2 linked regions of the Lepisosteus oculatus genome follow. The protein of the gene in region 2 interacts with the protein of the main gene of each other region in a biochemical or structural test. Links are inferred from orthologs where the notes say so. Each region holds a gene or a part of one and is shown on either strand. Other genes may lie near its edges.

Region 1 (7,545 bases), on a different chromosome or scaffold from region 2:
CATTGGAACACACAACTGGCTGTGTATACTGTACTGTGCAATATCAGCCATCCTGTAAACATCTGGCTGTGAATATTTGAAAGTATAATCTAACCCCTTTCCCTATTTGGCAGTGAAGTATAGGTTCCAATTACAGACCAAAATTACAATACATTGGACAAACAACCCACAGAAACACAAACATACAGAGCACACAGAATTGGACCAGACACTACTGCTGATTAATATACATAAAAGAGCAATAAAGTATTGGTTACATGTCAGTGAATAGAACTCCTTCAACCACAAGGCCCTGCTGAACACAGAGAAGAGCCCCTTGATCAGCTGGTCCTGTAGTTCACTGACATCAGGACAGCACTACAAAAACAACACATCACAGCCAATCAAATCCCAACACAGGCCAAACAATACCACCGTACCCAGTGGGAAACACACAAACTGGAATGTGCTAAAAAGTCATTTACTCTAGCTAAGTATTTATCTAACCAGGGGGAGAGACAGCAAAGAGCAACAGATCCAGACGAAGTAGAGGCTCAGTGTCCACAGCCTGGCCATAGAAACTGGACACAGGCAGACCTGGCTGTCCAGAGAGGACAGTCACAGTGACCACAGCCTGGACATAGAAACTGGACACAGGCAGAGGGACCTGGCTTCCCAGAGAGGACAGGCTGTGCTCCTACTGCCAGCAGGGAGAAGCAAAGACAGAGATGCACCTTCTGCTGCACTGAAAGAAAGAAGAGATCAGACATTAAACATTCTCCCCTAAAATAACAAGTATAATCCCAGAATTCCCACACCTGCCAGGATCAGAAGAGCTCCCAGTTCTAATGGGGGAAGGAGGAGGAAGCCTCCGTGCAGTATGTGATCTCCCGTCCCAGCCTGAGGCACAGACAGCCTGTTTCATGTGAGATCTGTGATGTCCAATAACACGTTCGTACTGCAAGTGTCTGTAAATGCTGTGTTAATTGTATCAGCTTTGGCCACCCTGTAATCCATCGGTCACCCCAATTAAAAGCTGTTGGAATTGGAATCTGAGAGGCACTGGGACAGAGTGTGAAGGAGATGGAGAAGGGACAGAGGTACACAGAACGGCTGAAAGAGACAGGGAACGAGAGAGAAAAGCAGATGCAGAGCGAGGCAGGAGGGAGCTGCTGGTTCAGCAGTCCTGCTATCAGCGTGAGAGAGTCAGCAATCAGCACTCCACTATCAGCCACTGGCTGTGCTAATCATTAATCCTTCCTTAATCAGCCATCTTATTGACCGCCCCTCTGACACAGCCTGTTCTGCGCTCCACAAACCATCTGACGCTGCGCTTTCACCCACAGGCTCCTGTGCCAAATGGGGCAGCGATGAAGGAGGGGGGTGGGGGGCTGTGAGACCAGCCTCTGCGGCTCACCGCAGTAGTGAAAAGGAAAAGCTCATTAGACTGTTAATAGTTTAATTAATCTAGCCAGTTAGGGAAGGATCACAGGGGAATCAGCTTCAGAAACAGGGCTGCTGCCACTTGTTCCAGACACCCACCACCTTTAGTGTAAAGAAGTGCCTCTGTGTTCTCAGTTTTCCCTGGTGCCCCCGCAATAAGACTGTTGGACTAATACTGGCAACACCTCTAATGATTTGGGAATATGCAATTATTCTCTGTTTTACATTTATAATTAGGAGGATCTGTAGAAATTTTATTTTCACTTGGACATTACAGTGTCAATCAACAGCAAAACGTCCCAATTAAATACGTTATGATTCCATGTTCCACAGAGATGCAGTGGGGGAGGATTCCTGCCGCCCAGCCCTGGGGCCCTGGGTTCAGGTCCTGGGGTGCTGTCTGTGTGGAGTTTGCATGTTCTCCCTGTGTTCTGAACTGTTTCCTCCCACAGTTCAGAGACAGGCTGGTAGGTGAATTGTCTTCTGGGAAAACTGGCCCTGGTGTGTCTGTGTGTGTCCTGTGTCTCCCATATCTTGCTGGGAGAGATTCTGGCTCCCCTGAGACCCTGCACTGGACTAAGCTGTTAGAAAATGGGTGGATGGAACTAAAGACCTGTGGCTTCTTGGGCTGGACTATGCTGTGAGTCGATGGTGTCTGTCACTGCGCAGTGAATAGAAGGATCTATAGTGCACCTAGAGAAATGGGCAGCTAAGCTACTCTGGGCACCACTGGACACCAGGAGACTGGGGTCTGTCCCACACTATGCACTAAGGTGGTCAGAGCTCCTCATGCATAAGCATATAGCAAGCAGTGGAGAATCAGTTTTGGATACGAGTGCAGAGTCCCGCAGCCCGGACTGGTTTGATTCCTGGGCTGACTGTGACCCAGATTTCCTGGACGCTGGAGGGCCTCATACCCTCAGATCTGAGGGTTCACTGTGAAGCTCAGTGGTCAGAAGGTGAAAAAACAGCCAGCAGGTGTAACAGCAGATGAATGGACTCTCTAACTTTCGGACAGGTGTCTGTCAGGCGGCTCCAGCGAGGCTGACCTCTTGTAGACCTGCTGGAAACTGGACTCAGAGGGCAGTGTGAAGACACCGGCACGGCACTCCCTCTGACTGCTGGCAGGGTACGTGCAGCTCAGGGTGATAGATCAATAAAAAATTAACACGCGGAACAGCATAAAGTAAAAGGAGAGCAAAGAGATAATGAAAGCACGGACGTGCAGGTTGACTCATGTTAATTTCAGATCACATGGTCTTCCTTCTGCAACAGATTTAATCCTGAAATTAATCGGCTGTTCTGAGGGACCCACAGTGCCTGTGTGGACAGGTGCCCCTGGACGCTGTGCCTTTAACCAGTCAGTCCACACAATGCTCTGGAGTGAACCTCCTCTATCGAGGGTGAAGGCGTGGGATTAACTGTCTGGGTTTCGCACACATTGCTTGAGAAAGACCAGAAATGAGTGTGCACTGAGTGTGTATAAAGTACAGTATTTAGGGGTAGTGTACTGGTGAGTGCAGTGTGTGTACATATGAATGTGTTCAGTGCGTAGTAGTAGTGTGTATAGTGTGAAGCAGTGCGTTTGTAGTGGTGTGTCAGTGTGTACCAGTGTATATAGTGATCTGTCAGCATGTAATGGTGCGTATAGTGATGTGTGCAGTGTGTAATGGTGTGTATAGTGCTGTGCGCAATGTTTAATTGTGTGTATAGTGGTGTGTACGGTACGTAACGGTTTGTATAGTGGTGTGTCAGTGTGTAACGGTAGTGCTGTGTGCGGTGTGTAACAGTGTGTATAGTGCTGTGCGCAGTGTGTAACAGTTTGGATTGTGGTGTGTCAGTGTGTAACGGTGTGTATGGTGGTGTGTCAGTGTGTAACCAGTGTGTATAGTGCTGTGGGCGGTGTGTAACGGTGTGTATAGTGGTGTGTCATTGTGCAACGGTGTGTATAGTGGTGTGTGCAGAGTGTAACGGTGTGTATAATGCTCTGCACGGTGTGTATCGGTGTGTATAGTGCTGTGCGCAATGTGTAATGGTGTGTATAGTGGTGTGTGCAGTGTGTAACGGTGTGTATAATGCTCTGCACGGTGTGTAACGGTGTGTATAGTGCTGTGCGCAATGTGTAACGGTGTGTATAGTGGTGTGTACGGTACGTAACAGTTTGTATAGTGGTGTGTCAGTGTGTAACGGTAGTGCTGTACAAGTTGTGTCAGTGTGTAACGGTGTGTATAGTGCTGTGGGTGGTGTGTAACGGTGTGTATAATGGTGTGCGCAGTGTGTAATGGTGTGTATAATGCTGTGGGCGGTGTGTAACGGTGTGTATAGTGGTGTGTCATTGTGCAACGGTGTGTATAGTGGTGTGTGCAGAGTGTAACGGTGTGTATAGTGGTGTGTCAGTGTGTAACGGTGTGTATAATGCTCTGCATGGTGTGTAACGGTGTGTATAGTGCTGTGCGCAATGTGTAACGGTGTGTATAGTGGTGTGTACGGTACGTAACAGTTTGTATAGTGGTGTGTCAGTGTGTAACGGTAGTGCTGTACAAGTTGTGTCAGTGTGTAACGGTGTGTATAGTGCTGTGGGTGGTGTGTAACGGTGTGTATAGTGGTGTGTGCAGTGTGTAACGGTGTGTATAATGCTGTGCCTGGTGTGTAACGGTGTGTATAGTGGTGTGTGCAGTGTGTAACGGTGTGTATAATGCTGTGCCTGGTGTGTAACGGTGTGTATAGTGGTGTGTGCAGTGTGTAACGGTGTGTATAATGCTGTGCCTGGTGTGTAACGGTGTGTATAGTGGTGTGTGCAGTGTGTAACGGTGTGTATAATGCTGTGCCTGGTGTGTAACGGTGTGTATAGTGGTGTGTGCAGTGTGTAACGGTGTGTATAGTGGTGTGTGCAGTGTGTAACGGTGTGTATAGTTGTGCACGTGGTGTTGTGGAGCGGAGTGCAGCAGCCTGCGCAGTGTGTGCAGGTACAGAGGACGCTCCTGTCTCCCTGTTTACTGTGCTCCTGACTCACACTAACCCTTGATCCCAGGCTCCAGGCAGTCAGGAGCCGAGGTCAGGGGTCCAGCTCCACGAAAGCAGAGATAGAGGCTGGGAGAGAGAGGATAAAACCCGCCACCACCTCAGCTGGGCCACACACATCGCACACATCCAGGAGAGGTAAGACTGCACTTCCATACGGGAGAGGGACAGGGGAGAGGGGACAGGAGACAGGAGACAAGGGAGAGGGGAGAGGTGAGGAAACAGGGGACAGGAGATAGGGGAGACGGGAGAGGAGAGAGGGCTCTGCTGCAGCAGGTCAGGCTGTGCTTGATTCCTTTACACTTGACGGGAGATTGGAACTGTGAAGCGTTTTTGGATGTGTGGGTCTCCAGAGAGTGATCCTGTCTCTCGGGACTACTCAGACAGAAAGAGTGTCAAACTTTCCTGAGCGTAACTCGGACTGCCCTTGTTTTCTGGCCGAGAACTGGCCGGTTTCTGGACAATCCGCTCTTCTTCCCGACTTAAAAGAGCCGTTTTAGAAGAGGGAGAAACTTTTTCTTGGATTCTCGGGTTATTGAGTGCACACCGACTGATTTCAAACGAGAAGCAGATCGAGACTGCAGGGGCATCAAGGTATCTGAATCAGTTCTGAAAACTGTGGGTTCCTTCGGAAAGGCATGCTGCTGGGTTACAGGGCTAGACGATCTTGGGGCACTCTTTGTGTCTGGGAGCTGTGTGTCCGGAAACACTAAAACTCTGTGCCTTCAAGTAATCAGCTCGCTGAAAGGTTGACAGCAGTTGAGAACATAAGAAAGCTTACAAACGTCCCATCTGGCCTTTTTGGCCCCCTAACAAAGCAGCTAACTGATCCAAGGAATTCCTCCATCTGTGTCTTGAAAGAAGCCAAGTTTGCGGCTTTAACAACAGGGCCGGGCAGCTTTTTCTCTACTCCCACCACCCTTAGTGTAAAGAAGCGCCTCCGGTGCTGACTGGAGGAGCTCGTCCAGCCATTCCCTGAAAGGAGCCAGGCTATCGGCTTCAACTCCGTGGCGGGCTCTATATGACACGAGATCCCTTCTGATTGCACTGGGGCTTCAGGGGTGGATCTGCCGTAGTCGGTGCCAGAGACGTGCAGTTTCACCCTGATGGAGTACGGGTCAGGCCTAGAATTTCCGGTGGTTGCAGCCGGTTCGTTAGAAATGGCTAGGAAAGATCTTGTTTGCCTGTAGCTCGCCTTAGGTGCCCACTAACGGTCGTGACACCACGTCTGAGTCTTTGTGCAGGAGCTGCTGTGATCAGAGCTTTAAGAGGATTGGCTGCTGTTTCATTATCCAAGCTTAGAAAAATCGGCCTGCCTCGGAGGAGGCACAGGGCAGAGTGTGTGTAGGGGCTGTGGATTTTGTGGAAGGGTCTTGTTGAGTACAAGCTTGGTCCGTGTCCTATTTCCGCTGGTGCTGCAGCGTGTGGAGCTGTGTCTCGGCTCGTCTGTGACAGAGTCAGCTTGATAGGGTGTCATCGAGGGACTGCGCAGGCAGTGTGTGTGCCTCTGTCAGTGTGGAGCAGTATGTTTTGTGTGTGTATAGTTTGTCTAGTCTTCATATCTGGGTTTTTTTTTCCACATATTGGCTTCAAGAACAGAAAAACCATGGCAACCATACCTAATAAGACTGGATATTTCAGATATCTACAGCTGTATAACATACACACAGTACATATATCATGTATAGTTTAGTTAATGCATTCTTGTACATTAAAAAATCCAAAACTGTAAAAAACACGTAGATTCACCCATGTGTAGATATACGAGCGCTCACTGTCTGTGAACCTCAGTCTGAAATGCTGTAAACACGCATGAATATGATTTTCATGTATTTTTGTGTGTTGCGGGGCATGGACTTTGTATACTGTACTGTGAGCTGAGAACATGCCGATGCCCTGTGTGAGCTGTGGGGGACTGTGGGAGGGTGTCAGGAGGGAACACCCTCACACGAGAGGAAAGGTGCTATTCTAACATTGCTTTAGGGCCGCAAACTCCAGAGATCAAATACACTGGGGCTTACCACAGATGACTCCACAGAAATCCTTGGCTATATTTTCAGATTGGTAATAACCAATACACTGCACCCAGAATACAGAGCTTTCACTCACAAACCCCAGACGCTAACAGATAAAGCTGTCTCCTAATAACCACTGGTTTATCTCACTTTATCTGTCCCTCCTTATCCAAACTGGCTGTGCTTCGAAGATAGCATGACCCAAAACCCTGCTTTTGATAGCCCTGGGGGCTCAAAGTCCTTAAGTAGAGACTTGGGACTGAGGAGCTGTTGTGGAGCTGAGGATCGCCCTCCTCCGAGGCCTGTCTTATCAGTGCGATTGCAAACTCCCTGCTGGTAACGAGACCCGGCCAGACCCTTGGACCTGAGATACTGCCGGCTGCTCCTCGTGCTGTGATTTCACAGGCGTGTCACCCGAGGTGTGTGAGTGCGTGCGTGTGTGTGGCATTCTACATGTAGCATTCTGGTCAAAATGCCAGCATTTCAGCTGAGCAAAAGTTCCCTTTACTATTATGTGTGGCTCTCCATCCTGTATCGCTTGTGCAAATCGCTGTTGTGACAGGATTCACAATCGTGAAAATCGTGGTGCCTTAGAGGTGTGCACAGGAGGTCCGGAGCCTCGTAGCCCCTGCTCCGGCTCCAGCCTGTCCTTAAGACACACAGGGTGGGTGGGGGTGGGGGGATTTTGTACTAACGGATGGCCTAACAGTAAGATCTAACAGTAGGGGGTGCCCCACTGGCTCGGGCCGACCGGAATGGACTCGTAATCAGGCCCGTGGTGTGAGACTCGACCCCTTGTGAGCCTGGGTCGTTTCTGCTAACAGCACGCTGCGCCTCCGGGCTCCGCCGGCGCCGATCGAAAGGCTCTGCTCGCCCAGCATGAGCCTTTGGCCCGACCATTGCTCTAAACTCGGCTTTGATCTGGACGCCGGAGGGCTCCTGTCCCGCATCAGGGGAGAAAGGCAGACGGGACAGACGCGGAGGCCGAGTCCAGGGGAGACAGTGCGTTGTGGAGATCGGTCGGGTAGCTGGGCGGCCGACTCACAGGCCTGCGCGGGTCTGAGGAGGGGTGTGTCATGACCTCACG
Region 2 (7,699 bases):
GCATTTTACTTTGGGTTCCTGACCTTCATTTCAATAATTATCCCTCTAGAGTAATTCTCAGTGGGAATCACTTAGTTCTTAGTACATCAGCTGCATTTCTTAAAGGCACTGGCATTGCTCTTTGTGAAGGGATGATAAAGTTACTCATTTCATTAAACAGCACTTCTATCCAATGATGCCAGTAAAAACAATTGATTAAAACTATCAATATTATTTCATCACGAATTTAGAAGGCTGGCACATTTATCCAAGACAAGTCGCTTGAATTAGTACAATTGAACTGGGTATTGCCAGGCTGACCATAGCGACCTCTGGTGGTAAGTAGTAGTGGCAAGGCTATTTCATGTTCACAAGTAGTCAAGCCCTCAGCAACCCTCACTTCCCAGTGCCAGGTGTTCAGGAATTGCGGAGGGTGATATAATGTAGATGGCAGAATGTACAGTGACAGATGTTGTATAAAATATATTATACTGTGAATTAAGCACAAGATGTGCGATTCATAATCACAGCAAACCTCTCCTTCTCTGAGATTTTTATGTGCCGTGGGGGTTCAGTACTGCATTGAGGCCTGACACTCACTGGGCGCAATTCTCCAGTCGTACGGCGCTGCACGAATGGTCTCATTCCGGACGTATCCAAAATTCACCAGGTGCTCCACCATGGTGTGGAAATAACCTGCAAGACAACAGATTTGTGGTCACAGTCCATTCTCATATGACAAATGCAAAAGGTGATCAATTAATTAGTCTGTGGAAGTTCTCAAAAGGGCATGTCATTTGCTTGAATTCCCCTGTTAAATGTCCAAGAGGAAATACAGGCTATTCACCATATGAGGCTATTTAACCCTTCATTATCTGAATGTATTTCTGACACTCCTTGAAAAATATGTACCTAAATAATATAATACCTAAAATATACCCATAAATGCATTTGGTTTTAACATGTCCGTTGGTATGTTTTTCCAGTCCTATCTAAAATATTGTAATGGTGTATAACAATTGTATCATTGTATTGTATTGTATTGTATGTAGAGCTGCACACCTGTTAGCTTGTTGGTGTCCAGAAATTCCACAGGGTAGGTCTGGCCAAATCCGGGTACTCGAATCTCTACTCCAGGGGCATTGGAGCTTTTCCGGGTTGTCCTGTTGTACACAATCCTGAAATGACACAGATTCTGATCAGTCAGAGGAAGGCTGGTCTGTTTCTGTTGATGTAGGCAGATGCAGATGCAAAGTAACTTAAGGCACTTGTTTTGAGGTGGAGGTGAAGCTTGGATTGGGATTCACTGGTGGTTTCACCCAGCTGTCTGATCACCAGTGAGGCGTGGTTCAAGAGAAGCCTCCGTGCTTGGATCAATTCTGATCAGAACTGAAGGTGCAATGAGTGGGAAGAGGGACAATGTCTCAGATTTCTGGTTCCTGGTTTTGGGCTCTCTTGAGTGAAGAGGCAGATGAGAGCAGTGGGTGTTTGTTGACAATGAGCCCTTTTCCCCTGACGAAAGGCAACACAAATGGTGAGGTTGGTGGCAACAAAGTGAGAGCTACGACACGACGGTGCTACTGTACCGGATGTTATCTATCCAGCAGTCGATGCCAATGGGCATAAACATGTTGAGATCGATCCAGATGGTGAAGAAGTTCTCCGTCTTCCTGTAGCACAGCCAGTGCACCAGGCTGGGCTTGTCAATCCTGGCTTCCAGCCGGTTTCCCAGGTTTCCTGGCACTGTGCAGTGGTAAGAGGTCACAGGTCAGAATGCTTTACATGCCTCCTTTCAATTTATTCCCCTATTTTTGGAGTGAGTTACTGTAAATGATTCATCGTGATTCTCGTTCCCAGTTTTTCCCTTGTGTCTAACTTTAAAAAAGAATGCAAGGACAGAGGGTGATCACAACTAAAGGAGGTTAACTCCCATCTTATTTGTTGGACTTAAAGTAGAACTGTGTGACTGAGTCTTATCCAGATGTATCCTAGGGAGCCAGTTAGGAGGGACAGGTGGTAAATCTCTGAGCAAAAAAGTATCTTCTACTTTCAGTCTAAATAGGTCCATCATCTACTCTGAACTTCCTTACACAGATTTGTCCAAAAGTGCAACAGTATAGTACAGCATGCTGTATGAGACACCCCTGGCAAGCTGTGCTCACAGCTTATCAGTGCAAATGAAACCTGAACAGTCAAGTGTTAAAAATGCAGGCCGAAACCGGGGTCATGTCCAACTGATAGTATCTCCACTCTGAGAAAAGCTTTGACTACAGGTCTGTATAATAATAGTATCTTCAGAGGCTATTTTAGAAGCTGTTGTATAGTGCAGGATATTTGTTGTGGTGAATGATAAATGAAGTAGAAACAACCAATTCTCAGTCTGAGTTCACTATTCATAGAACACCCACTGGAATCGCAAAGATGCATACGATATTCCCTACTTTTCACAAAACACATGTTCCCAAAACAAAAACCTATTTCTGAAACCTAACAGCAGGCCTTTGTGTCATTATTTAACGCTCCTGACTGCATTAACAAACCAGCTGAAAGAGCACGGCTTTCGGTAGGTTTGAATGCATACTTTCGAAAAATGCTCCTGGAATACAAAAAGGCCGCCACTCCTCCGGAGACCCGGAACCCGACTGCCCTCCCTGACACTCACCTAGGATGAGAGGCGGGGTGCTGTTCGTCTGGGACTCTCTGGGCTCGACGCTGGGAGGAAAGATGACATTGAAGAGCCAGAATCCGGGCGAAGGCCGGGGGAAGACACCCAGAACCAGCAGCAGAAGCAGAGGCGACACAGAGGTGCGGCGGCCCATGATTCTCTCTCTCGCTGCTGCGCTGATGAGCCTCTGCAGCTGTCTTATCAGGGCCAATGGAGAAAAAGGCTGCGAGGGCAGAGTCTCTGGCAGAAGCTCTCCCACGCTGGAAGCCCAGTGTACGCACTCAGCACCCTGTAGGCCAGTGGAATGCTCCAGTCAGATCTCACCACCACCTGAATACTGATGAGACTCCGGCTTTAGACATCGTTGACAAATCACAAGCTTTTTATCTGAGCTCTGGCTAGAGTAAACAATTTCTATGCAATGTTTTACACCGAGGGGCAAGCCTAGCCTTTCAGAGGAGGACAGTGGGCCAAAAAGGAATCACTCTGTGCTAGAAATCTTCTGCCTGGGATGGGCAAGTCCAGACTTTAAGGGTTACAGATGCTTCTCGCAATAATTTGACCTCATCTCTCAATTACTCCTCTCAGCTTTTTTATTTGGTTAAAAAATAAAAAAGTATTTTATTTATTTCAAATAAAACAGGTATTTTATTAGGTATTTTTGGTATTAAATACTTATTTTATACAAGCTGTTATTTTGCTCCATTCTGACATTATTCAATTAACTCTGAATGTTGTTTTAATGCAGTCACTCAGAACAATGCTATCTTGTCTCAAGTTGAAGAAATGCGCTCCAGGTTTACTGGTGAATTACTGGAATATTGAATTGAATATATATGTAACTGCTAATTGTGTGGCCCGGTGGACTTGAATGTGGTAAAGAGCTTGTTGAGTCATTACAATGTGAGTTCAACCTCTTGATCAGAGTGGCCTCCGCTACAGTGTTATAGTCCCTTTCAATCCTGGGGGAGCCAGGGATCCCATTGCCACCATGAGTGGCAGGTTAGGAGGAGCAACAGTGCACTTACCCCAGCAAGACTCAGTTTGAAGGAAGAAGCAGTGTGTGTATTTGGACCCTGTACTTGAACTGTCATCACTTGAGCCTCAATTGCACAGTCCAGACCAGACAAGTGACATAACTCTTACAGTAAGAGACCTATTACACACGGCACCACTGAAGTCCAGCGTCCTGTACGAGAGCCGGGTATCTATGGCTGCACCGCAGGACCAATTGTGTCAACATTGCAGTTCTATTATTGTCTGCAAATTGATGCAATAAGGTGCAAATCCTGAGCCTATGATGAAAATGTTGTTGACTGAAGTGCCAGACAGTGTGAGGACTGTGTCAGAGTTTAGTCATTTGCCTTGAAATCAAATCAAGACTGGCTGATATGTCATCAGCGGCCTTGTTTTGTTACCATTGTTTGTGAAAGGATAGGATATCAAATCCAATCCTCTGCATCTGCTTAAAGATCCCAGCCACTGTTCCTCTGTCGGGTAAGTTACTCAGGCATGAGCAAGCATTGTTTGCAACCAGATACGCTTCTGGAATAGAAAGCTACTGTCTGTTTTGATTTAGCTTGCACTTACAAGTTGTGTCCTATACTGAATCAGAGAAGTTCTTCTACAGGGGAAGTTCCCTAAGAATATGTTTCTTTTCTGTCTGATGGATTGGTGAACAGAAACATTATCTAATTCACCTATGAACTATTGATCCCCTAACCAGCTAAACAGTTGATGTGTACTATATGAACATTGTGAAACATTAACAGCAGTCACACAGAGATTGCAAGTGCAGACCTGTTTTGTAATACAGATGGAAAAAGGTAGAAAGTTCAAATTTCCCCAAAATACAGGCAGCTGCATACTTTCAAACTGTTATCCATTTCAATTCATTGGATTATTCCCTATCTGTAGAAGACAACTTTTTATTTTCATGCAGAACAATAGGTTACTTTAGTAAATATTTGGAAATCTGATGTCTTCGTACCAAATATTTCACTATCTTTATTTGCTGGCAGACACTCGGCACCCAGGGTAATTTGCAATGTAGTTATCCAATGATTACATAGTGTGGAACATTGCAGACTCTGGTAACATTGGTCAAACAACCTTTGCACATAGAACTCTCCAACACTGATGGGACATGAGTGGTCTATGTGGTGATCCTGACTTTGAGAGTTTTAACAAAGTTACAACCGCTAACTGCTTTATCGAGTCCAGGGTGGTGGGGGAGACGGAGCCAATCCCAGCAAGCAACTGGCCCACAGCGTGATACACCCTGGATGAGAGAGACCAGTCCATCACAGAAAAGCACTCCTGTTTAAACCCCACTTCTAGTGAACCATGAATCCCATGTGAGATTGTCTGCGTTCCAGGACAATGATCAAAACTATCAGTTCATATACTGTAGGTGAGACCAGTCCTTTGAAGCAATTCTGGCGACCTCTAGTTGTATGACTGTGTCACTACAGACTTTTCAATGGACAACCTTCGTAAGTGAACTACTCCAGGAGAGTATTTCCCCATTGATTTTATAAGTATGCACATGTGTAGTTGTCCAATCCTCCCGCCTGTTCCTGGGCTCAGTTTTCCTCTGAAGGCGTAAATGTGATACAAAGTGGGTGACTGTTTAATATTCAAGAGAAATCCATCCATCCATTTTCTAACCACTTCAGCCCATACAGGGTCAGAAGGGAGCCGGAGACTATCTCAGCAAACAACAGGCATGAGGCAGGATACACCCTGGACAGGACACCAGTCTATCGCAGGGCACACACGGATACAACCACGCACACAAACACTCTCACCAGGGCCAAATCTTCCCTGAAACCAATTCACCTACCAGCATGTCTTTGGACTGAAGGGGGAAATCAGAGCACCTGGAATTGACCCACACAATCGTAGGGGAGCACAGACTCCACACAGAGAGCACCCCGGGTCCAGAATGGAACCCAGGGCCACAGCAATACGATCCACTGCGCCGACGTGACAACCGAGGGAGCTACATTTGAAACGTATATGGTCTGGTCTGGTCTAGTCTAGTCTGGTTTTTATTTCTGGTGAGAATCTGGTTTCCGGAATCCGCACTCAACAGATCAATGTTTTTAGCATTTAGATTGTTTTCATGAGTTCCCCCCCAAGCAATTGCTGTTTCCAAAAGGTGGGGGTTAATTAATTAATAGAAGATTTCTAGAACTTGAGATCATCAAGTCTTAGAATACTTTCTGCTTTTTAAGGGTCGGGGCTCGGTCAGGTATTTAAGAGCGTAGCCTGTACATGAAGATACAGAAGATAAAAGGAAGATGTGGCCTTATTTTTTTTGTTGTTATTTGGTAATTGTTTTTCACGTGCAAAATCGAAAATGAAACCGTAGGAGTCCTTTAAGATCTATATCTTCAAGTAGCACTAGTCAGATGTAGAAAATGTCCGCGCTTTTCAATAGTTCAAACCAGGAGAAACCCGCAGCTCGTCTCCTCACGCTGCTTACGCAAGGGGCGGGGCCACGGAACAGCGTGATCCAGCGCTGCCGTGGCCATGGAGACGGTCGTAAACGGGACGGTCGTTCAGAGGTACTGTGATGGGGAATGGTGCGATTAATCTTTTATTTCAATATCTACATGTTTAAAAATGAAACAAGGGGTAAAAAACAATCAGTGACAGTAGAATGTACCTGTTGATTATGCGGCTGAGTAAATAAACAATGTGATTTATGAAAACAGGGGTTAGAAGTTTCAGAAACTGTTTATAAACTATAGTTAAACTATCGTATACTAAACCGTAAATAAATTATGAAACCGGATAAACTATTTAGTTTTGTATACTGAACGGAAAATGGTCGAGCTTCCTTAAATATTTAGCAGCTGCAGTAAGGATATATTTACACTGTTCTGTGGCACGACGTAAACTTGTAATTGTTAAATGTATTTAACATAAAATGTCAAGGTGTACTGTGTTACACTGTTTTCTCTTGGTAATTACAGTAGATAATTTAATTCTGTGCCTTCTGTTTCAATAAGCACAAGGCACACAATAAGCACAAGGAATCCTCCTTAACAGGAGGAATCTGATGCCTCCTACTGTATATATTTATAGATATATTTAGGGTAATTCAAATAAAGAATGGATAGAACAATTATATGATTATATGATTATAAAGAATAGTAAAACAAAAATATGATGTAATTGATATTGATAGACATTTTGTTGCCAGCAACTACTGCTATAATATAATAATAATAATAATAATAATAATAATAATAATAATAATAACTGCACGCTGTATTATTGTGCATTTGATAAATAAACTCTGATTGATTGATAGTTCTGTCCCTTTGAAGACAGGGTGAGAGGTGATCCTGTGGAGTTCAGGTTGTCCTCCTCTTTCTCATTTTCAGTCCTGTAAGAAATGGAGACGCTGCCAGAGGAGCAGTTGTCTGAGGCTGGAGAGTGGAAGGGGGAGGAGGAGGCAGGGGATGAAGATCTGAATACAGAGCTGCAGGATCTGGAGGAGACACTGTCCAAAATACACATCACTACCCCTGCCAGCCCGCAGTGAGTACAAACCTCATGTCAACATTACTGTACTTACTTTATTGTCCCAAATGGGAAATTTGCTTTGCAAGCAGGTAACTGACATAACACAGTACGCAATACATTTAACACAACATGGACCCATTCACAAATAAGACATACATGTACCATAAGAAAATAAATATGTATCTAAAAGTAAAATGTACAGTTAATTATCCAAATTGAGCAGGTTAACAGCTGTGGGAGTAAAACAATGACATTGTTCTATTGCTTTTGAATCTGGGTAATCTGGGTCTTGAATCAATGATTGTATCATTGTCATTGCTTGATGTAGAAGTCTGGAAGCTGTAGTTCTAGTTGCCCACAATGAGTAGATATGTCCTTTAGCCCACAGTAAGTACAGCTTTTCATGATGTTTAGTTTTTTCTAGTGGATGCTAGACAGAAGTCTTCTTGAACTTCAAAGATTTCTTCCTGAACTTCAGTGGGCTCCTATGTCTTGTGTTTCACACTGATTGAGCCT

Evidence for each region.
Region 1: the proteins of lcat (region 2) and apoa1a form a complex in vitro, tested with the Homo sapiens proteins (6 studies listed by BioGRID and IntAct, with this or other methods). The link is inferred for Lepisosteus oculatus from reciprocal best matches to the Homo sapiens genes LCAT and APOA1.

Annotation. Positions count from the first base shown.
Region 1 is NC_090718.1:4,780,029-4,787,573, reverse strand, and holds the start of apoa1a (apolipoprotein A-Ia), read left to right. Parts: upstream 1-4,526; 5' UTR 4,527-4,581; intron 4,582-7,545. UniProt on the Homo sapiens protein: Participates in the reverse transport of cholesterol from tissues to the liver for excretion by promoting cholesterol efflux from tissues and by acting as a cofactor for the lecithin cholesterol acyltransferase (LCAT).
Region 2 is NC_090715.1:11,488,109-11,495,807, forward strand, and holds the start of lcat (phosphatidylcholine-sterol acyltransferase), read right to left. Parts: upstream 3,007-7,699; 5' UTR 2,799-3,006; coding exon 2,642-2,798; intron 1,723-2,641; coding exon 1,566-1,722; intron 1,158-1,565; coding exon 1,042-1,157; intron 676-1,041; coding exon 580-675; intron 1-579. Other genes in the region: ccdc135 (dynein regulatory complex subunit 7), read left to right, coding at 7,053-7,198. UniProt on the Homo sapiens protein: Central enzyme in the extracellular metabolism of plasma lipoproteins.